Linked DNA regions of Drosophila melanogaster. The protein of the gene in region 3 purifies or fractionates together with the protein of the main gene of each other region. This does not show direct contact. Each region holds a gene or a part of one and is shown on either strand. Other genes may lie near its edges.

Region 1 (7,082 bases), on a different chromosome or scaffold from region 3:
TTACCTTACCATTCAAAAATATTTTATCAGTCCTCCAATCGACTTGCACCAACTTTCTAAGTTTCATACGGTTTCGTGGTACATTATCTCGAATAAACTGCTTGCTCTGATACAGGAAAGTTATTTAGTCGGAATTTAGTTAAAGCAACATTTAAGTGCATATTCATAAAAATTAGTTTTAGAACTTCTGCAATGAATATTGTTTTCTTTAATTTATTAGACAACAAATGTAGCACTCTGAACTACAAAATATATAGTATATTATTTCAACAAGCAAAGGCTTAGAGAAGTAATGGCTCAATCTTTGCAAATTGTAAACCACAGTAATGGATTATTAAGCCGAAAGCCGATTGGACACCCGCTGATTATATTACTTCTATATATAAAAGCCGTTCAGTGCAGATTGTGATTTTCGCTTATTTGCAGACGAAACTCGTGAACTTGGCACTGCGGCGTGACTCAGAAATCCGTCGCCATCGGAGATGAAGATGACATAATAATTTGAAATAGTTTGTAATATAGGACAGCCGCCGGGTCCTGCAGGGGCTGGGAATTTCCCAATTCCGGCGACAGGATGTGGTGGGAACCGAACTGCGATTGCCAAGCACATGTCACATAAAATCTACATACAAAGTGCCCCCAGTCCATTTGCAAGTGTGTGGGCAGCGTTTTAATTAGGGCGTGGAGTGGAGTTGCCCAAGGCGAAATGGCGCGTTATCGCTTCAAGGACGAGCACACCACCCATCCCATCTGAAAAACAACACCCCTAATGATAACTGTTCGTCTAGAACGGCGCACAATTAGGCACCATCAATAATAGACGATTCGGCGGGGTCATTTAGATAGAATCGCCGATAGCCGGCGAGCCACCTCCCCCAGAGATCCCACCAACTTGTCATCGCACCTTCCGTCTCGCCCGAGGTTTATGCCCCCTGGTGGTAGCACCACAACTCACCGGGAATTCCCACCTGACACCATCAACAAATTGTCGAAAATCGAAGGTTCAACTCAACTAGTCTTGTCTTTCTACTCCCGAACTTAAAGCCATTCGTGTTCACTTTCATGTGAATGTCCTGCCAGTCCTTTGGCTTTAACCCACCAATATACACAAGCAATTTGTGGTTCCCATTGTTTGCCCTTAGCTCGTGTAACATTTCGGAATTGTTGAATTGCGTGATTTCGCGGTGGCTTCTAATTGAATTTCAAAACTGCAATCAATCGACTTGGACAGCTTAAACGGAGCAGGAATGCACTAATGCCCTAATGAAACCTATTGTGGTTTTCTTGCAGAAGGATCGATTAATTGGTTGATAAAATCAGGGGGATGGCAGAATGCCATAGCTATATTACGGTTACTAAATCGTAATAAAATAGAATTAGAATATAATGATTAATTTAAACATATAATATACAACTAAGTATAATCAAGGGGTTTCTTTAGAAGATTGATTTCGTTCAGCAGCCTTTGCCAAATGAACGAACATGCAGTACATTCAAATATGGCGGTTAATAAGCTTTTAATGGGGTGTTCCATGTCGAAAAGCTTTCTCTTTCCAAAAATGAATCAATCCAAGAAACCCACACCCTTTCATGTTGCTACCACCAACAATCACACGTGATTGTTCAAAAGGCATAATTACATGGTATGCAAATGGGAGGCGCCAAGTGGAAAATGTAGCCACAAGATTAACCCCTTTCGCCACACGTGCGAGTCTTGGAAGAACATACGTCAACTTTTTAATTAAGCAGTTGAGCAGGCATCAAATGAATGGCGCTTTCCGCCATGTAATAACCCCTTTTATGGCTGCCCTTAATCACAACATGTGACATCCCTTCCCAGCAGGATACTGCTCCTTCAAAGGATTAAAGTTCGAACGAATGTAGCGAGACTCAGGAAACTTTGCGCTTAACGCTGATTAATTACAGGACAACGGAGAGCGAGTTGGCTTAATTGGAAGTTTGCTTAGTTTTAGATTGTTTAATGTTTATTCACGTTCTCTAGCTCATGTAAAAAACTCATATTCCCAGATGAACCGGCGAACCAGTGCTACTCTCGAACGAGAACCCGCCGCTCTAGACATTCAGGTAGTTGTCGGGGAATTCGAAGGTAACATCGCGACCAGTCAGCTTCTTGTAGACCGAGGTGAAGGTGTCGACCTGGAGAGATAAATAGAGAACGTATTAGTTTACACGATCAGAGGAATTAACTTATTTATTGCAGTGTACAGCACCGCAACCTCCGCTGCGGCAGAAAATACCGCAGCGAAGATATCGTACGGTAGGCTGGATTAATCTTCCGCTTATATAGGAAGTCCCGAGGCCCCAGGAAACTAAACGGCGCTCGAGAGGCAAATAGGCGGCACTCAAAGTGCATCGTGTGTGTTTTCAGATGAGTAACTCTAAATGTAAGGTGCTGTTGCAATCCTTAAGTAATGATGCTGTCCTGGCAAAGTAGACCCAACATTGTGGAGTGATTCGTTGCATTACTTTGCGTTCTGTTTGACGATCGCTGGACTTGAACAACGTCCAGAAAATAACACAAGAACGGTGATGGAAACCAAAGTATTCAAGGGCTAAGTGTTGATTGACATGAATGTGGCGCATATAGTAATGCAGTAGCCGTTGAGAGTCGGCTCAACATTGTGGAGTGATTAGCGGCAGTTAATCTACGTTCTGTTTGACAATCGCTGAGCTTAGGTAATCGCTTAGCGAATAACACAAGAACGGAGTTCACAATTAGCATTCTCGTGGATATTCAACTGTAGCAATCCTTTAGTAATGATGCAGTCCTGGTAAAGTAGACCCACCATTGTGGAGTGATTCGTTGCTTCAGTTTGCGTTCTGTTTGACGCTCGCTAGGCCATGAAAAGATCTAGCGAATAACACAAGAACGGTGGTAGAAACCAAGGTATTTAAAAGATTCTACGAGAGTGTGGCGAGCCGAAAAGTAATGCAGTAGCCCTGGAAAGCCGGCTCAACATTGTGGAGTGATAGCCGCATTAATTTACGTTCTGTTTGACAATCACTGGCTTTGGATGTAACTTCCAGCAAATAACACAAAAACGATAGAAAGTTCTATGTACATTTAAACATATAATCTTTCTATCCATCTGTTATCCCCCTTATTTGACTTTTCATTCTACTGTTTAAATGGTTTCAAGTATCGATTTGAGTGTGTAATGATGTGGCGAGCCGGAAAGTAATGCAGTAACCGTGAAAACTCGGCTCAACATTGTGGAGTGATAAGCTGCCATTAATGTACGTTCTGTTTGACAATCACTGGCTTTGGAAGGACAGCCAGCGAAAAACACAAGAACGATGTATCAAAAGACCAACTGTGGCCAATATTTGGAGATGCAGGACCGCAATGGCTTCTAATGCCTGCAATAACGAGTAATTGGCCCTGACTGTTCTGCGTCCCCTGGCGAAGATTGAGCTCCATGGCACGGAAGGCCCAAATATCGAGGGTACGCGCCTGCTAACACACACGATGCACTCTTCTTTGAGGTGGAGGATGCTTATGCTTACTTTGTGTTCAATGGTGGTCTGCTGGTTCTTGTCCAGGTGCACCTTGACCAGCTGGGAGCCGTCCAGCTTGACGCGGATGCGCTTGCCCACAATCTCGGCGGGGAAGACCAGATCCTCAAGGATGGCGTCGTACACAGCGGTCAGAGTCCTGGAGCGTGGACGCTTCTGCTTGAGGGGGTTGCGGGCCTTGCGCGTGGGCTTGGGCAGGATCTTGCGCTCCGCAATCACGACGACGTGCTTGCCCGAGAACTTCTTCTCCAGCTCGCGGACCAGGATGATCTGGATCTTCTGGAACACCTTCTGCTGTGGAATGGGCACGTAGATGATGACGGCCTGCGTGCAGAGTGGGTTACGGATTACTATTGAAGGCTCCACATGTACGCCATATACTGTTTACCTTCTTGCTGCCGAACTCGATCTCGCGGGCACGGGTGATGTGCAGATCGCGCAGGTAGGGCTTCAGGTCGCTGTTGGCCTCGAGTTCCACCAACGCCTGGGCAATGGACTTCTCGAAGTCATCGGGATCCGAGCCGCCGGGCTTGATAATCTTGGAGCCGATAGCCATCTGCAATGTTCATCACCGGTATTTTAGCTTTCGGTTCAATTACAAACACAAAATTCGCTGCGGCAGACGCTTCCCCACAACGCAGTACAATCACAAATCGCCGGCAATCGGCGTTATTTCGCCAGCATTTCTCTGGATTCACAAGAAAATCGTAATTTGCCATTATCATTGCGGCCTTTTCTCTTATTATTTCGCTGCACTGCGTTGTGGCGACCGCGTATTTTGGCCATTTTCGGCGACGGAAGAAAAAAAGTACCACCTTTGTCGACTATTTTGACAGGAAAGGAAGTCGAGCCACGACGTAGAGGTGGAAAACAGAGCGAGTTGTTATCGATGAGACACGCGCGAACGTTGTGCGATACTATCGATACAGTTGCAGGAGCAATTACTCGTCGAAAATACGAGGGATGGCTAAATATATAAAATTTAACATTATAACATAACATCCATTCAAGAAAATTTGATTATATTTCTTTGAAGTGTTTCAGCGTTTTAATGTTTTGCGTGTAAAAATCGATAGTTCTCAGCAAAGATTGTGTATAACGAATTTATGAGTTAGCATCGATAAGTTTGTATGCCACTATGGGTTTATGTTTGGAAAAACTTTATTATAAAATTTTTTTTTAATAAGTTAAGTTGTTAGCCTATAAAATTAAAAAAATTGTTGTATGAACAATATAAAATGTTTCTTTGAAAATATATATCGATAGGTTCGTTTAGGGTTATCTACCATGCTTCAGCGGCGAGTATCACCACTTATGTTGCGATTAAAGCCCCACAGGGGGCGCAATTGTTACCACATGTAACGTTTTTTAAAAAAAAGTAATTACACAGATTTTGGATTTTGGAATGGATTTCCATAAATTAGGAATTTAATGAGATTATTAACAACATAATAAAAAATATTAGTTATTGCCTTAAATATATGTGTAGATAATATTTACGCAGACATATTTAATCTTTTCAACGGACATTTTTAAGTTGATAATATTGATAATATAATATATGTAAATTCCAGTGCCATTTGCCGTATGAGTTTTAACCTACAGAATTGTAGAACTTAATTACTATAGAACACTATTGAATGAAAACTTAGTAACTTGTTGAGGTTTTTAGTAATTCCAAGAAATATGCTCTTGAATAAAAAACCTTTTTAAGTCTCTTTCAATGCAAAAACACGAGTTCTTTTTTTTTACATATTGTAATTAATATGTTTAAGGTCTAATTATTATTGTAAACGTTTTTCGGTGGGTTGATTGCCTATAAAGCCACTTGTTTTTCAGTCTAAATCATCAGTGTAAAATTCGGAAAACCCAGCGATCTAGTTATGAAATACTTTGTGGTCCTTGTCGTCCTGGCCCTCATTTTGGCCATCAGCGTGGGTCCTTCGGATGCAGTATTTATTGATATTCTTGACAAAGTGGTTTGTTTCTTCTTTAAACAATTGTAGTTTACAATGAAGCTTAAACATTTGTATTTCTACAGGAAAACGCAATACACAATGCTGCTCAAGTGGGAATTGGCTTTGCTAAGCCCTTTGAAAAATTGATCAATCCGAAGTAATTCTGCACTGCAATTTAATTAATGTATCGTTTAACGAAAATAAACACAAATTTTAAAATCTGAAAAACAACTAAGTTACTAACGCAAGACTTTTAGTTAAGTTAGTTAATATAGACCGAGATGTATGTACATACATACCGCTTTCGCTTACAATAAAATGTTAAATAAGTTTTCAGATTCGTACGTGCTCAGTAAACAATTATTTTTTATTGTCATTTAATGCCTATTGAATTTTTCAAACTTAATTTAGTGCCTTTAGTAAAATATTGTAGTGATTCCCCTCGAAAAATACCACAAATTGGATGCGTTTATGTAAATAAATTGCCCTTGAGTGATAGAGTAAATTTGAATTTGACTGTCTTAGAAAGATAGAAAGAGATCAATTCAAAATGCCAAAAGGATAGAGTTATTAAAGCTCTAATTCAAATTGGCCCAGAACCGTTTAAAGGATATTACAATTTGTAATTTACATATTTGGATTATAGCATTGAAATCCCCGATTGTTCCCTAGATGTGCAGATGTGTGCTTGGAATCAGATCGGTTACCTTCAGTGTACTTTTCTCTGCAAAAATCCCCGTGCATGCCTTATCTGTCATTTTGTTTTTCAAGCTGGCTGTTCGCCTATAAAAGCTCTCGCCTTTTGTATCGCAGTCATCAGTCGCTCAGACCTCACTGCAATATCAATATCTTTAGCTTCTCCTAAGAAAAAATCAAGAAAATATCACCATGAACTTCTACAACATCTTCGTTTTCGTCGCTCTCATTCTGGCCATCACCATTGGACAATCGGAAGCTGGGTGGCTGAAGAAAATTGGCAAGAAAATCGTAAGTTCTTCCATTTGAAATCTGTTAAGACGGAAACTAACTGACTAACTTCTTTTCGAAGGAACGCGTTGGTCAGCACACTCGGGATGCCACAATCCAGGGACTGGGAATCGCTCAACAAGCCGCCAATGTCGCCGCAACTGCCCGAGGTTGACCACGATGATTATTTATAATTATTTATTTAAAGATCTATTTATTCTGTTGCTCCCTGTAAATAAAACAATTTTAAAAATTTAAAGAATTCTATTCAAACTTTGTTTTTTAAAGAGTTGGAGAAAAGCGAACTCTTGAATTTATACACACATTTTAAATACACTTAAGAGGCATTATTTATACAGGATATTACAAATCGCTTCTTTTCCGATTTGGAAAGGCCGAGATTATGTCTTATCTGTTGAAATATAATTCGTTTCACCTATAAAAGGACCAGTCTTTTAGTTTAAATTATCAGTCGCTTGTCAAATACTGAAACAATTAGATTAATTTGTGGATTTTATTTGTCCTCATCCTGACCACTTATTGGCCACAATTGGAAGCTGGCTTCGACGGGACATTAGTAAGCTTAGTCATTTTAAAAGATTTCTTTGCATCTAACTATGA
Region 2 (8,203 bases), on a different chromosome or scaffold from region 3:
AAGATAAACTTAAAAATAAATTTAGAAATTGAAATCGTTAAGTGATTGGCAGTCATTTTAGCACTGGAGGGCAATTCCCACGCCGAACCGATGGTTTCCGTCCTTAAAGTTGTTGCAATCCAGCACGGCGGATATGGAGGCGGTGATGCCGTCGCGCAGTTTCTGTTCATAGCCCAGGCCCAGCTCCACCAGGTTGTTGACCTTGGCGCGTACGAGGGCATCCTCCTCCAAGTGGTAGATCATGCCCAGATTGACGACCACATCTCCGCCCTGCTGTTCACCCTCGGCAGCTTCGCCGCCGCCGGCTCCCTTGGTTACCTCGATACCGGCATCGATCTTCTCGCTCGCCTTGTAGAACAGCGAGGCCAACCAGGTGTCGCCGTTCTTCCTGCAAATTGATTAAAAGACATAAGATAAAGTCTTCCCACATCTCGTCACACGGGGAACTTACAGCTCGCCATGGAGGGTGGCAGTTTCATTTGTCCAACCAAGGGCCACCTTCCAGCCCTTGAGTTCGGTGTTGCCAACGTCAAATTCGGTGCCCACGCCGCCGAGGAACTCCTTGTGGCCCACAACCAGCGAACAGTTGAGTATCGGCTCCGAGTTCAGTCCAATGTCGGCCAGGAAGTTAAAGTTGTCCTGGGCATAGCCCATCTTGAACTTGCCATCCGCCTCACTGTTGACCCGAGATGTTTATATAATTAAAGGATGCTACCTAAACGATCCCCAAAGGAATACGCACTTTGATCCCGGCTGAAACTTGGCCTCGACGGCCAACATCAGGCCCTGTGCCAACTTATCCCGGTGCATAATCTCACCGAAGAGCCAGTTCTCCGTGTTCCATCGCTCGGTTAGGGTCAGGCCTTGGTCCTCGATCTTGTACTTGCTCTGAAGCGAGCCGGTCACCTTGCTGTTGTCCTGGCTGGCGAAGCCGGTGGTGAAGAACTCAATCCCCGAATTGGTCAGGGTCTTGCAGTCGATCTGCCAGATGCCCGGATGGTAGCCGCGCTTGAAGAGATCGCGGGCCAGCTTGCCCAGATCTGGGTATGTCGGTGTTTTGGCGGCCATTACGGGCTGTATGAATAGGTGGTATGGTATATATGGCCCGACTAATTTCGAAATTTTTTGTCTACTTTTCAACAGCCTCGATTAGCCGAAAATTTATGTCTAACGCTGCCTGATCAGTATCGAGTTTTATACACGCTGGAGACCTGTGAACTAAAACGCACGGAGTCCTGTGCCCAACCGAAAAAGTTAAGTTTTTCAAGCACAAAGAACTTGGGATCAGTATAAGGTACTTATCTTATTATACAGTTTTTTCTTTCAAGCTTAAATCCTTAAATTAAGCTAACCATTCCCAAGCCTTCCACCACCAACGCTGCAATCAAGATAATTTATTTCTTCTCGATTTATTTCTCAGGTAAATGCACAACGAAAAGGTAAAGATTGTTATTAAGGATGTGATTTTGGTGTTATGTGTGTCCTAGTTTCGCCGCAGGATTTTGCAGGCAATCCGTAAAGCCTTGAGAACTGAAAAAAATGCAATGCCTTTTGAGCCATAATATTCCGTCTTTTCCATTTTGTTTTTTTTTTTCGTTTAATAGGTAAATGTATTTTTACTGCACTTTTGTCAACAACAATTTCGCTAATATTCAATGCACTAATCAAAGCTACATCCAACGACGACGGACTGACCTGACCGACCCATCGATTGCACCACCCATCCATCCCCCTGCATCGTTTGTTTGGCAGTGTCTCTCCTGCAGATTCGCGTGGCTGGGGCAGGGAATGGGCGGATGTGGTGATGGCCGGCTGACAACTAATCCAATCCAATCGAATCGCTAAGATGTGCAGATTCTCTTTATATTTGACTGTGTGTTGTTTGTTTTTAAAGAATATCGTATCTTTTATTTTGTTTGATCTTGTTGTTGTTTCTGCACTTGTCTGGCTGCTGTTATTGTTGTTGTTGTTGTTGTTGGGCGTGTGGGGATGTTAGACAACGTTCAAGGATTTCACGACTAGCGGAAAACCACGGACTTAGGCCTCCAGCTCCAGACCCACACCGATCTTGTGGCCGCCGGCATTGAAGTTCTTGCCATCGACCAGCGTGGACAGGGTCAGGGTGACTCCGTCGCGCAACTTCTGCTGGTAGCCCAGACCCACCTGGCTGGCGTTGTTCACCTTAGCGCGCACGCTGGCATCATCATCCAGCTGATACTTGGCGCCGATGGCGAACTTGGTGTTGCTGGTGCCGCTGGCCCACGACAGCTGTACACCCACATCCAGCTTGTCCGAAGTGCGTTGGAAGATCGAGCCGCTGAACTCCTGGCCATCGTTGCTAAACACCGGACAAGGCAATCATTAGTTTGCATTGATTTCATTTGCCATGCGTGGCAATTGCAATACTTACACAGCTGTGTGCAGAACAAAGTCCTTGGTGGTGTAGCCAAGGGCAAAGTTGTTGGTGGTCAGCTTGGACTGTTGTGTGTCAAATGCGGTCTGGTAGCCGGCCAACCATCCCTGGTAGCCAAGCACGGCAGAGGCATTGATCAAGGGGCCCTTCAGATCAATGTTCACATCCGAATCGGCCTTGACGTTCTCATGGCCGTAGGCAACCTTGAACTTGCCGTTCTTGTTTCTGACGATTTTTAATTAAATATGCAATATTAATTATTCTGCAGTGAACATATATGTAATAACATGTGATCCTTACCCAGACTGAGGAGCAAAGTTGCCCTCCAGGGACAGCTTCAGACCCTCGAGGAGCTGATCCTGGACAGCAACCTCGGTGAACAGCGTGTTGTCTGTGTTCCACTTCTCGGTGAGGGTCAGGCCGTAGTCCTTGACCTTGTACTTGGTCTCCAGGGAGCCGAAGACCTTTCCAGACTCCTGGTTGGAGTGTCCGGCTGTGTTGAACTCAATGCCCGACGAGGTCTTAGTCTTCAGATCGAGCTTCCACAGGCCAAAGTTGTAGCCTTTGCTGAAGATGTCGCGAGCCTGTTTGCCCAAATCGCTGTATGATGGAGGAGCCATCTGGAATGGATTGAAATGGAATGCATTAAATCGCACCTTCAATTAGTTGGTGAATAATCGATAATCATGACGATGATACTTATTGCGAAATCATTTCACTCGCCAGGTCATTAATTGCGTTTAGCGAACGATAAGTTTAATCTTATCAGCAACATAATGATTATTACTTTTTGCTCGACTTGATTTCAAAATGTTCTATCGGCCGCAAATGAAAAGTGAAAACTAAAAGACGCCAAAAAACAGCATCAACATGTCCCAAGAATTTCGAGGGCTTTTTCCCCATTTTCACTTTGGCTAAATGTCAATTTTGTGCGGCGAAAATAAAGAAATCAATTTAGATTAGTGTTCAAGGCGGCCACATGCAAAGAATCACCAACTGAAGCAGCGAAAATTCTGAGTGACTGAGGAGGGGGTCAATGCACGTCTGGGCAAAATAAAGTGGCGCAAAAAATAGAAGCGAAGATAGAAAACAAATAGTGACTAAGTCTATTTTACTCCAAGAAATTAAGGGTTTTCTATACCAATGCAAAACCATTTAAATCAAAATTTATTTTTCAAATATTTTTATAGGTTTTTTAAACTAAAATTTTAATAAAAATACTGAGATTTTCCCTATTTATCTGGCCACAGGTTTGCCTCTCTCTATGTTTACGTTCCGTTCTTGCTGGCATTAATTGCTGGTCAGTTCAGTCCCGTTAGGCTAGCGATCATTGACTCAGAAGCTAACTGCACATTTGCAACGTCTGCTGTGGTCACTGCTTCGCTGTTTCTATTTGCGTGACGTCAGGAATGCGACTCACAGTCGCGGTAGGAATATTAGTCGCGGATAAATAAATTTCTATCCGATATTGAGCATAAAAAAAATCAAACAAAAATAACCCAAAACATCTAATTGAAATTATTATATAGATATAACAATATAAATATTTCATGTTGTGTTCGGGGGGATTGGTGGGGGGAAACTCAAGGCAATCAAGGCAGAAAATTATGAAAAGCAGCGGCCAGCAGACAAAAATCTTTATGGCCGGCAGCCAAACGTTAAATGGGATGGGCTCTTATTGTTCCGGAAGTCAGGTGATATAACCTGGTCACTAGATGCTGAAAATAATACTATCAGGTGGATGTCCCGGTGAAAATGAATCAGCATCTCGTTGACGATGACCTTGACAAGCAGATTATAAAGGGGGTGGTTGGGTGGATGTGCAGCTCATTTTTTCGACAGTTGCATAACAGCAGGGAAATCGATGAGGGAAAGTGGAAAGCTAAGTGAATAGCTGCCCGAAAAGGTGGTCTATTGATTTTCCAGGTGACGTCACTGCGAAAATACCACCCACAATCGCGAAGTGCACCCACCTCCTCACATGACCACAAACAAACAAAACGACGATAAAGAACGGTAAAGAGTGAAATCGAAAATGTTTATTGAGCGAGCTGCACGCTGGTGGATGGCAACATGACGATAACGAACGGAATTGATGCGACATGCGTTACGTAACGGAAATTCGCCAGGCACTTTTCCATCGATCTCTCTGCTTCTTTGCCCCCTTTTTTCGCCGGCAGCTGCTGCCAATGAACTGCGAAGGCATTGGTGTGCGTGGACTGTTCATGTGTGGATGTGTGTGTGACAGCTAACCGGCTTAATATCCCCTTTAAATTTCGGATTTATCAATTAATTATTGCGTGATTTGGTGATAAGAAGCTCGCCCATCGTCATCCAACAAAAAAGTGCTCAGCCCTTTTGCTTTTCGTTCATGCGCGTGTCTACTTGCAATTTTTTCATTTCGAGGTTATGAAATCACTGGCACCGAAAATCCTGATTTTCCTTCTACCCATAGGGGTATCCATCACATTTCACTGAATTTTGAGGGGGTTTACTCCTGAGCTACTTACTTTTGATGAGTTTTAGTTTGGTTAGAGTGTAATGCGAAACGCAGAGGAACAGAGACACCACGACAAACGTACACCAAAAAATTTTGTAATTCTGTGCCTTAGTGTTACCAACCCTAAAAATTCGTCCAATAATTATTCCCTAAAACAAGCCGCAGATATACTATCTGGTAACGCTGCGTCACTCTTAATGGCAATGGTCACACTTTTTGTAACGGAAATTTGAAAACTAACGGTTACTTAAAATAATTATTGAAATTAGAATTCAATCATTCTATTAAGAAATTCGTTATCTTAAGAACAATTAACTTACATCAAAGTGTTTTTTTTTTACATAAAAGGGTTTCCTGCAAACGAAAACTTTAAAGTTGTGGACAAGTAAATGGGCTTTAAAAAAGTTATAATCCAAAGCAATCAAAATGCAATAAATATATTACAACTTTATTGATTGACACCAATGAAGTGTGTGCGATGCTCTTTTTATTTTTAGACGAATCTGCGTGCAGGGCCGCCAATCGACCGCATAATCCCATTCGGATGGGCCAAAAGCGAGACCAGTGCATTTGCCGTGCGGCGACAGAATGTTGAAGGCCCGTCTGCAGGAGGACGCCGTGCTGGGACGCTGCTTGGCCACCTCTAGCTCCGTGGAGCGGGGCGAGCTGGTGCTGGAGGAGCTGCCCTTCGCACGCGGACCGAAGCGCGACAGCGGAATCGTGTGCCTGGGCTGCTACCAGTTCCTGCAGTTCGGAGAGGACGGCGATTCGCTGGACCGCTGCGAACTCTGCGATTGGCCGCTGTGCGGATCGTGCGCCGACGACGAAGACGTCACGGAGCACCGCGGAGAGTGCCAGGTCTTCTCCGCCGCACGTGTCACTTTCGCCGGGAATGTGAGCGATGATGGCGTCTGCCCGCAGTTGGATTGCATAACCATATTGAGGTTAGTTCGCGGGCGCTCCAGCGGGGCGGGGGTGATGGTGCTGGGTACATCCGTACAGCAGGGGCTACTGGGTGCTACTAGGGGAACCTGGGCGGTCTGTCCGAATATTAGTTTTGGCAGCAGCGGCCCATTTCTCGCAGTTCGCAGGCTAGCCGGCATATACAGATTCTCATGGCGACTCTACGTCAAAGAAGGCGGACGGATGGATTAACAAGTCTGTGAAAGGGACAGTGGAGCAAATCGCACAGAAAATAAAAAATAAATAGCTAAATTTAAAGTGCATGAAAGTAAGGAGAAAATTATGGCATGAAACAAGCCATATTTGTACATATTATTATGACAGAATAATTGGTATATGATAGTTGCGGCGCGTTATGATCAATGTACCATCATGTTTTTATATATTTCGTAGCAAAACTGAACTGTAAGCACTGTGAATTATTATTTAAATAATGTTAAGCACATGTTTAAATAGATCGGTGCTTAGTACTTAGAAATAGAACTAACAAAGCCAAGCAACTTAAAAGTTACAAGCAACTTAAAAGTTACAAGCAACTTAAAAGTTACAACCAGTAAATTATTTAATTTATGAAAATGTAAGGTATTTTAGTTATTATAGAAATTGAACAATGTTTTCTCAAGACAATTTGTTCAAAACTAAAATTTCTCACCTAGGACCTCGCATGCCCACTGTGCCCAGCAATTTTGATGCTTTATGTCGGAGCAGGCAGAAATGTAGTCATGTAGTGGGGAGGAGGCATCATCTGTGGGGTGTGCCCATGACATGAGATCTGAGATCTGAGTGCGGCCAGCCGGCATCAGTCAGCGAAATGACATCGCCGCCAACGCTGTCGGTGAATAGGACAGCGGTTCAGTGGAGTCCGGTCTGCGGACGCTATCTGGTGGCCAAGGGAGCGATCCGTGGCCACGGTCTGCTGATCGAGGAGCTGCCCTTTGCCGTCGGGCCCAAGTGCAATGGACCGGTGGTGTGCCTGGGTTGCTACGAACCCAACCCAGATCCGGAGGAGGAGCTGTGTAGCGAATGTGGCTGGCCGCTGTGCGTGGAGTGCGCCCAACAAGCGGATAACGCCCATTTCCGCCTGGAGTGCAGCCAGCTGAAGGATGCTCGGGCACGATTCTTCCGCCTGCCCAGCGGCAGCAGGCACTGTCCGCAATTGGACTGTATTATGCCGCTCAGGTGAAGCCCAGCGGGTGGAACAAAAATAGACCACCAGGCACCAGGCAAACTGATAGCGTCACTATTTTATCCGCTCAAGATGAAAGTTATATACAAAAGGATTCATTAACAATTAAAAAAGAGAAAGATTTTTAATTTAATGTAGCTAATTATAATCAATAGGTTACTTGTTGTGCTTCATATGATTGTCATTTGGAATACCCTTTTAAACTTTCTACTTTCAGAGTTCTGTTGGCCAAGGAGGCGAATCCGGAGCGATGGGACAACGAGGTGGCACCCATGGAGCACCACAAGGAGGAGCGCCAAAGGGACGCGGATGTCTGGCATGCGGATCGCGTTAATATCGCTCAGTATTTGCGCGGTCCCTGCCAACTGGCCAACCGATTCAGCGAGGAGCTGATCATGCAGGTGGTGGGTGTGCTGGAGGTGAACGCCTTCGAGGCGCGCAGCCCGAAGGGCTATCCACTGAGGTGCCTCTTTCCCTATACCGGCATTCTGGCCCACAACTGCGTGCCCAACACATCCAGGAGCATCTATCCCAGCGAGGGATACAAGTGAGTTGTAAATAGATTTGTAAATTCAGTTCTCTAGTTCAAGATGTCTAGAATTACATTTCCGCTGTTGCACATCTAAAATAAGTCCTCCTATATTTGTTTCTCTTCCAAAGAATCCGACTGCGCGCCATGGTGGACTTGGAGGAGGGTCAGCCCCTGCACCACAGCTACACCTACACATTGGATGGCACTGCCCAGAGACAGAAGCACCTGAAGCAGGGCAAGTTCTTCACCTGCCAATGCGAACGCTGTCTGGATCCCACCGAATTGGGAACGCACTTCTCCAGCCTGAAGTGTGGTCAGTGCGCCGAGGGATTCCAAGTGCCCAGGCAGCCAACAGGTGAGCGAAAAAGATCCTCTAGAAAGTGATAAGCTGACCTTATCCACTACGCAGAACCGGACACTAGTTGGAACTGCGCGAACTGTGGCTCCGACACCAGCAATGCGGATGCACTGGCGATGCTCCAATCCCTGCAATCCGAGGTGAATGCCGTGCAAGCGCTGCCCATGGCAGCCAAGCGGCTGGAGGAGATCGAACGACTGTTGCGCAAGTACAAATCACTGCTGCATCCGCTGCACTTTATAGCCACCGGG
Region 3 (7,363 bases):
CCGTTCACCCGCTCGCTCATGATCACTGCTCGCTGTTGGATCGCTAGAGCATCTTGGGCATCGCCCAAGAGGTAGCTGAGCCTGGCCAGCATGCGCAGGCAGGATCCGTTTTCCTGATGCAATGCGCCAAATACGTTGTTCAGCAGGTTGAGTGCTCCGCTGATTAGCTCATAGCCCTCCTTAAACAAGCCCTGTTGGATCTTGGCCTGGCCCGTGGTGTAGAAGTTATAGGCGTCGGTTGCCCGGGGACTAATGTGCTTCACAATTGGGAACACATTGACGATGTCGTCGTCGCCAAAGGTTGGCTTGTGCTTGGACTCGAAGTTGTACTCTCGCAGCAGCACCTGAATACCAACCTTCAAGCAGAAGGCGCGCATCAGACTGATACGCAGGATGCCGTATTTGGAGACCGCAGTCTCAATCGAGTCACAATCCAATTCCCAGTCCCAGTAGACCTTGGCCTCCTTACGAATTTGCTGCCACAGGGATCGGGGCGTCATCAGAGTCCAATCGGATGCGGATGAACTATTGGAGGAGCCAGACGAGCTGCCATTCTGATTGCCTGTCGTCTGCTGTTGCTGCTGACCCTTTCCGCCCTTGGAGGACTTGTGCTTGTTGTGCTTACCGCCGTTGCCGCGTTTCTTGTGCGCCTCCTCGCTGCTCACGGCCGGGTTGACGGGTCCGTTGGTCAGCAGACAGTTGAGGAAGTGGCTGATGGCAGCAGAGAGGTGCAGCGGCTCTGTATTCTGCATGTACGTATAGTAGATGTGCTTGGTGGCCCGTACGATCAGCTCGAGGACAGCGATCCTATGCAGGTAATCCATGCGAGGCATTTGGCTTAAAATTTTGATAACCTTGCCCAAATAACGCACGTTGATGCCGTGACTGTGCAAAGATTCTGTTAGACTCTGGCCATCGATTGGTGACGATGAATGGGACATATGTTCCTTGATAAAGGCGGGTATCTGCTTAAGGACGAGAAACTCGGCTGCTTCCTGCACGAGCACCTTCTGTTTGGCCAGCGAGGTGCCCTCCTCGCCATCCGCGTGACGAATGCCAGGCGAGAATACGTCGGGGTTGAAGCGGAAGTCAAACTCTTTCTCCTTCAGCGATCCAACGGCGGCGCAAGCCCGCTTTACTACCTCGGCAGCTTGCACCTCATTCGAAGTAGCTACATTGGACTGTGCTTCCCGGATGGCATTAACAATGGCGGCGGCCCTTGCCTCGCCAGAAGTGGACCTCTCCTTCTTCTCCTCCTCTTCGTTTTTCTTCTCCTTGTCATCGGGTTTTTCAGCTCCGTTCACTTTACTTGCCGCTTCTGCTCCTTCTAAGGCTGGAACAGGATTCGCCTCCGATTTTTCAGACTGCTTTATGGTAGTAAGCTGCTGAAGGCGCGCAGCAGCAATTCGGATAAAGTTAACATGTCGATCCTCTATAAAAGCTTCCAGCAGCTCTTGACGCAGGCAGCACAACTTGTGCCTGTGCTCGATAGGGAAGCCCATATCAACTAATTCCTTGCTCAGCTGCACGTCCTGAAGCTTCAGGAAGTTCACGTCTGGCGGGAACGTGCGCAATAAGTCGAGGATGTAGTGTCGGCCATCGTTTCCAATAATGCCCTTGCACTCCACCGAGGAGCACAGCTCCACGGGTTCATCCCGCTCGTTAAGCACTACGTGTGGCAAAATCTTCAGATGCTTACCGGCTTGTCTAAGAAGCTCCAAGTATTTGGGATGGCTGAGCACCGTCTTTCCAAAGTCAATGGAGCCATAGACGACGCTTTGCTCCTGCTCCCGCTCCAGAATTCCGGGAATAATAGATTGGGCAGTAACACGGTAGCCGCGATAATCAACGACGACGGTTCCCAGTGTGTATAATCCTTCAATATCAACGGCATTATAGACACGCACGCCGTGCAGATCGTATCGTGGGGCAACAAAGGCGGCTGCATCGCCGCCCAGTTCCTTGTAATGGTCTCTTACGTCGAAGCCCATCGAGAAGAAGATATTGTTCCAAATGAACATCTGCATCTTGGTGTCCTCGCCGGGATTAATGGCCAGCACATTGCCGTCGATAACGGCCATGGCGCCCCTCGTGGCGGCAGTCACGAAATCCCCGTGCACCTTGAAGATGGCGCGCTCGCGCAGCAAGCGCTCCGGCAGTGTCTTACGTGGCAGTTCCCGTGTCGTCTGTAGCTCTTCGTTCCAGTCGCGCGTCTGTCCGGGGATGTGCTCTTCGTAGCTGCGGGATGGAAGGATTTAGGGTATTTAATTAATAATTATTATTACTTTGTTAACATTTATGTAGTAATACTATTAAAATCTTTTTGCTCAACCTACCCCAATTTTGAGCTGAATGCATCCTCGGCACGAATAGCGTCCACTGTGTGCTCCAGGATGGGAGCTGCCCACTGGTACACCTGATAGGGCGTGGCTACACGCTCGAAGGCATGACGCATGGTGCGTCGCTTCTGGATGGTCTGGAAGGCACGTCGGAACGATGGTGATATGTGGGAAAGCAGATCGATCAGCGAGTGGCTGAGGTGGCTTGGATTGTCGGGCTTGGGATTAAAGGTGTCGTCTGTCGACTGGTTGATGAAGAAGCCCTTGGAACAGGCTGAGATGTGGAATCGTTTATCCTCCATGGTGACAACGTACAGATACATGAGGTCACCATGCAGCTTGCGAGGACCGGGTGGCGGGTTCCAGGCGGATGTAGTCAGTACCTTGAGAGCCTGCGGTCCCTTGGCGTTCTTCACATTTGGATGCAATGGCAGAATTGGCGGATCACTTACACCCGGAGTCACATACTCCGGCGGAGTGCAATCCACGGAGTCCGGTCGCGTCCTCTTCTTGTCCAGCAAATCACCCTGAGTGATCGTGTTTAAGTAGGTCAGCGAAGTACAGTCAATGCCATTGTACGCGTCGGCCGGGTCAAGGTTTTTGAGAAGATCACGGACATGGCGCACATGAATACGGGCCTCCCGCATGGTGTACGGCTCCTCTACCACTTTGATCGTCGAGCCCTGCTCAAGGTTATTGATTGACTTGAGTTCGGCGAAATTGTCGAGCGTCACGTTGTCCAGCTGCAGCGAGAAGCATGTACGATGGCACGTCTCTTCGCGGTCCATCAGCAGCTGGTGGATTTCCTGCACCAGCTCCATGCTGGACAGCTGCACGCAGAGCAGATCGGCGCCGGGACTGCTGATGTTCACCGTGATGCCAATGTCCTGCAGAGCGTCCAGATCAATGTCATCACCATCAGCCTCAGCATCCGGTGCTCCTCCTTCCTGCGGTTTCTCCACATTGGCATTGGTATCGGCATTGTCCTCAACTGCATCCACCACTGTGGGCTTCTCGGCGTGTCCGTTGCTCAGAACGGCTTCGGTTGTGGGTTCAGTTGGGCTTTTGTTGCGGTTCTTCTTGCCTACATGGGGCGATGAAGAAGTAATTTGTTGTTAGTCAATATTGGGAAAGGCATATGGAGCATTGTGTAACCTATTCGATGTATAGGGAGAAACGTGAACTTTGGACCGACTTTTGTTTCCATGTCTCTCAGAAGAATCTTGTATAAATCCGTTATTTATTTATTATGGTTCATTAGTATGTTTTTAAAAACAAAAGATTATTCTTAGGAATTTAAATTTCCAAGCAATGCTGCCAAGTTTATGTTAGAATTTAATGTTTACCATTCTTAATTTATAAATAGTGGTTTATATCTAGTTTAATAATTAAACCTTGATATTATTTGAAAAATGGTGACAGAATTAAAGGTAATGCAAATACGTTACACGTTTCTTTTCTAAAATTGTCTGGCAATATATAATAATTTAAAAAGAGGTGTCTCTACCTCCAGGCTCCGATTTTTACATAACAATACTGTCCGCACACTTTTGTCGCTCAGTTTGTCTGTGTTCGCCGGCAAGCTGTGTGCTTGCATATACATATAAAGGCATATGTACATACATTTACAACAAAACAGTAGAAAAACAAACAGAAAGAGAAAAGCGAGCTGATAAGGCCAAAGGGGCCGGGTTCGTTCGGAGTCCGTACGAACGAACAGTCCACCGAATAATCCAATCTCCTTTCGATCTCTCAGGAAAACGGAATGGGTTTAACACGACCATGCTAATTTCAACAGCCGTATACTAAATTACAGCACTGTGAGATACATAGAGATAGAGCTAGGGAGAGAGAATGAGAGAGGCAAAGAGAGTGGGGAGAGGAGAAAGCAAAAGTGATAAGTACAATGTTCATTAACCGCAAGGAATTCGGAGAGAAGGAGACAAAGTGTAGAGCGATGCGTCTACGGATAGAAAACATGATTTACATAATTGTCGAACAATTTGCGTGTGTTAAGTGCATGCATTTCGGGCCGCGCACGTGTTAATTGTAGGTTAAACGCAACAAGAAATCCGCCCGGGGGGTTAATGAACATTTCGTCGCCGTTGCCGGGTTAATAACATGTGCGTTGCCATGCCAAGAGGAAGAGAAAGAGCGAGAGAGATAGGGAGCCTCACACTTGCAGTTCTCACACACGCACTTAACTCCAATAATACACACACACACATTTACGATTGCAATTGTAACCCACGCGGTTTATGGAGAGAGGGGGAGAGGGAAGGCTCGTAAAAGGGGGTGGAGGGGCAGCCATAGACAACGGGCGCCGCTTTTAAGGCATTATAGGGAAGAAAAAGCCCATTACGTAATGTTAAAAATGTTATGTGATTGGCTTTTGTGGCAAATAATATATTGAGGCAGTTTCCAAGGCAGCAAAGCTAAGAGGAGGTGGTGATGGGTTGGTGTGTGGGTGGGTGGGTGGTTGATTGGTTGGTTGAACATGGGCGTAGGCGGAAAGTTAAACGCACCTTTCTTCTTCGCAGCCGGCCCGTCGGCAGCCGTGCCATTGCCATTGACCAAGTTCTGATTCGAATTCTGCTGATTCGAATTCGGATTCAGGTTCTTTTTGCCGCCGGCCGTGTTGTTGTTCTCCTTGGCCTTGCCGCTGGCCTTTGTTGCTGTTGCTGTTGCATCGCCCGTGGCCGTTGCATTTGAATTCTTCGCCTCCGTTTCAAGCGCCATGCTTTTGTTTCACCTGCTCGCCAAAAACTCAACAAAACCAGCGGAGGAGACACAGAGTTCTAGTTCACGTTTCTTTTTTTTTTGGGCCCGTCCGTCCGTGTTACACAACTCTAACCGCTCGCCGAGCTCGGGGTGATTTCGGTTCGATTTTCAGTGTCTTTCTGGTCGATTGCGAACGTGATTGTTGTTTGGTTAACGATCTCGTACGCATCTATGACAAGTGGGTCTTTGCTAGTTCTGTTCTTTTCAGCACATTACTTATCGAGGATATAAATCGGCCGATTCGCTAGAAAATAACGCGTTATGTTGTTAACGGCTGAGAGTGTGACCACCGGGTGAACATTTAAATATACCGCTGGCATTGGCTTGGTTGCAGTATTTTAATTAGTATTTAGTTATTTGCTGTGTATAATTGCAGATGGACAACAACTAGTGATAGGGATGCACACGCAAAAACGATACCAATATATATGATTGCATTTATTTTAACAACAATTGTGTTCTGTTTAATAAAAGGTAATTTATGCACAATACAAACTTATTTTTATTTAAAACAAATTTTTAAGCCTTTTTATAAAGTGCGTCATATTAGCGTCGTTGAGGAACAGTGAAATTTGTAACATGGGTAGGTTTTTTTTATTTTATTTGAAGGTGAATTTCTATTCAACAATTTTTAAAAATTAATTAATGTAAAGGGCCTGTTTTAAGGATGGGTTGGTTCATAGCTGGACCTACTGTTATGAAATTATCTCAAAAATTGAAATTTTCCTGAAATTCCACCGTTCCGCCATCGCCGCTAACTTATCGACTCTAATTTGACGCATACAATTTTACAGATCAAGCATAGTCCCCGTTAAGTTTTTTTTTTAATTCGGTGTGTATTTTTTACGACTTGTAATACAGCCACACATAAAATACTGTTTTTAACCAAACAAACATGTCGCTTATAAAGAATTTGGTAAAAGAGCCCGAACAGAAGGCAAAGAAAAAGAAAAAGAATGCGGGATCTGGAGAAAGCGATTCCGATGAGAAGGACAAGCCTCTGCGGCCGTTCATCAAAACCGCGACAGATCTACAGAGGCTGAAGCTGGAGAAGCTCATGAAGAATCCGGTATGTGTTTGCATTGGAAAGCTGGGTGGACATTCATATTAATAAACCTTTTATTGCCAGGATAAGCCCGTGGTCATACCGGAGCAGCGTCGCGAACGGGACTTCATGTCCTCGGTGCCCACGTTCGTGCGGAATGTGATGGGAAGCAGTGCTGGAGCGGGTTCCGGCGAGTTCCATGTGTACCGCCACTTGCGACGCAAGGAGTACGCCCGCCAGAAGAACATCCAGAACCAGAGTGCCCGCGAAGCAGCAGATGAAGCTTACCAGCAGAAGTTGGACGACAACAGACGCGCGGCCGAAGAAAAGACTGCTAAGAAACGAGCCAAACGGTTGAAGAGAAAACAGAGGGCGAAAAAGCCGAGAGAGGACAAGAAGCCACTGGCTAAGGAAGCCTCAGAGGATAGTAACACAGATTCCGAGGAAGAGCCCACAGAAGAAAAGGCAGAAAGTAGCCCTGAGGAAGGACAACAGGTGGCATCCAAGGAATCCGACGACAATAACACCCAAGAAACTTCGAATGAAGAGGCAGTGAATTCAAATACAGAAGCGAAAAGCGCAGAGGACACAAATGCAGTGGAATTAGATAGCACCGAAGCTACAAAGGAATCCCAAAATGTGGATCAAGAACAAGACAAGCCTGTGCCTTAGTACCTCCTGTTCTATTCCTATCAATAAACCGTTTAGAGTAATAAAACACAGTGCGGTTTTATTTATAGTACTTTTGTAATATATATATATTAAGCGATTTCTATACATCGCCAGTATCTAGGGGTTTTCATCTGAGGCCATCTTTCTAAAGCAGCTTGGTTGAGAAGAAAGCGTTTTGCGAATTATGCATTGAGTTGTCGTGGCTTTAGTGCGCATTTTGTTTTTTGTTGTCTTACATTTATAAGGTGCATCAAATGTTGCATTTTTGAGTATAATAAATGCTTTCAAAATTTGACATCGCAGGCAATACATTAATTATACCCTTGACAGAAATCCACCATTTTTAGTTCTGGGTATAAACATATTTTTTTCTGGTTTCTTGAAGAAGCAAGTTTTTATTGTTTTCAATAATTAGATTTCTTTGAATCCGAAAAATCGTTTCTTCTAATTGTTGGATTTTTCTGCGTTTTGTTTTTGTTTTCTCAGATACATCTATATGATTTCTCGGTTTTGCACAAATAATTAT

The links.
Region 1: the proteins of clu (region 3) and RpS7 purify together in Drosophila melanogaster (affinity purification with western blotting; one study listed by BioGRID). This does not show direct contact.
Region 2: the proteins of clu (region 3) and porin purify together in Drosophila melanogaster (affinity purification with western blotting; one study listed by BioGRID). This does not show direct contact.

Annotation. Positions count from the first base shown.
Region 1 is NT_033777.3:30,204,565-30,211,646, forward strand, and holds RpS7 (ribosomal protein S7), read right to left. Parts: upstream 4,457-7,082; 5' UTR 4,353-4,456; exon of another isoform or gene 4,094-4,352; coding exon 3,926-4,093; intron 3,862-3,925; coding exon 3,529-3,861; intron 3,476-3,528; exon of another isoform or gene 3,334-3,475; intron 3,320-3,333; exon of another isoform or gene 3,181-3,319; intron 3,067-3,180; exon of another isoform or gene 2,929-3,066; intron 2,895-2,928; exon of another isoform or gene 2,758-2,894; intron 2,728-2,757; exon of another isoform or gene 2,592-2,727; intron 2,549-2,591; exon of another isoform or gene 2,412-2,548; intron 2,363-2,411; exon of another isoform or gene 2,219-2,362; intron 2,158-2,218; coding exon 2,074-2,157; 3' UTR 1,966-2,073; downstream 1-1,965. Other genes in the region: Anp (andropin), read left to right, coding at 5,421-5,516, 5,579-5,656; CecA1 (cecropin A1), read left to right, coding at 6,384-6,482, 6,544-6,636.
Region 2 is NT_033779.5:10,845,831-10,854,033, forward strand, and holds porin (porin), read right to left. Parts: upstream 5,019-8,203; 5' UTR 4,924-5,018; exon of another isoform or gene 3,686-4,923; intron 3,236-3,685; exon of another isoform or gene 3,201-3,235; intron 3,034-3,200; coding exon 2,714-3,033; intron 2,639-2,713; coding exon 2,411-2,638; intron 2,339-2,410; coding exon 2,038-2,338; 3' UTR 1,595-2,037; downstream 1-1,594. Other genes in the region: Porin2, read right to left, coding at 58-388, 452-676, 743-1,068; SmydA-3 (SET and MYND domain containing, arthropod-specific, member 3), read left to right, coding at 6,688-7,055, 7,280-7,609, 7,723-7,949, 8,004-8,203. UniProt on the Drosophila melanogaster protein: Forms a channel through the mitochondrial outer membrane and also the plasma membrane.
Region 3 is NT_033778.4:16,184,638-16,192,000, reverse strand, and holds the start of clu (clueless), read right to left. Parts: upstream 5,418-7,363; 5' UTR 5,079-5,417; coding exon 4,865-5,078; intron 4,113-4,864; exon of another isoform or gene 3,847-4,112; intron 3,424-3,846; coding exon 2,337-3,423; intron 2,239-2,336; coding exon 1-2,238. Other genes in the region: CG8441 (uncharacterized protein), read left to right, coding at 6,016-6,189, 6,250-6,837. UniProt on the Drosophila melanogaster protein: mRNA-binding protein involved in proper cytoplasmic distribution of mitochondria.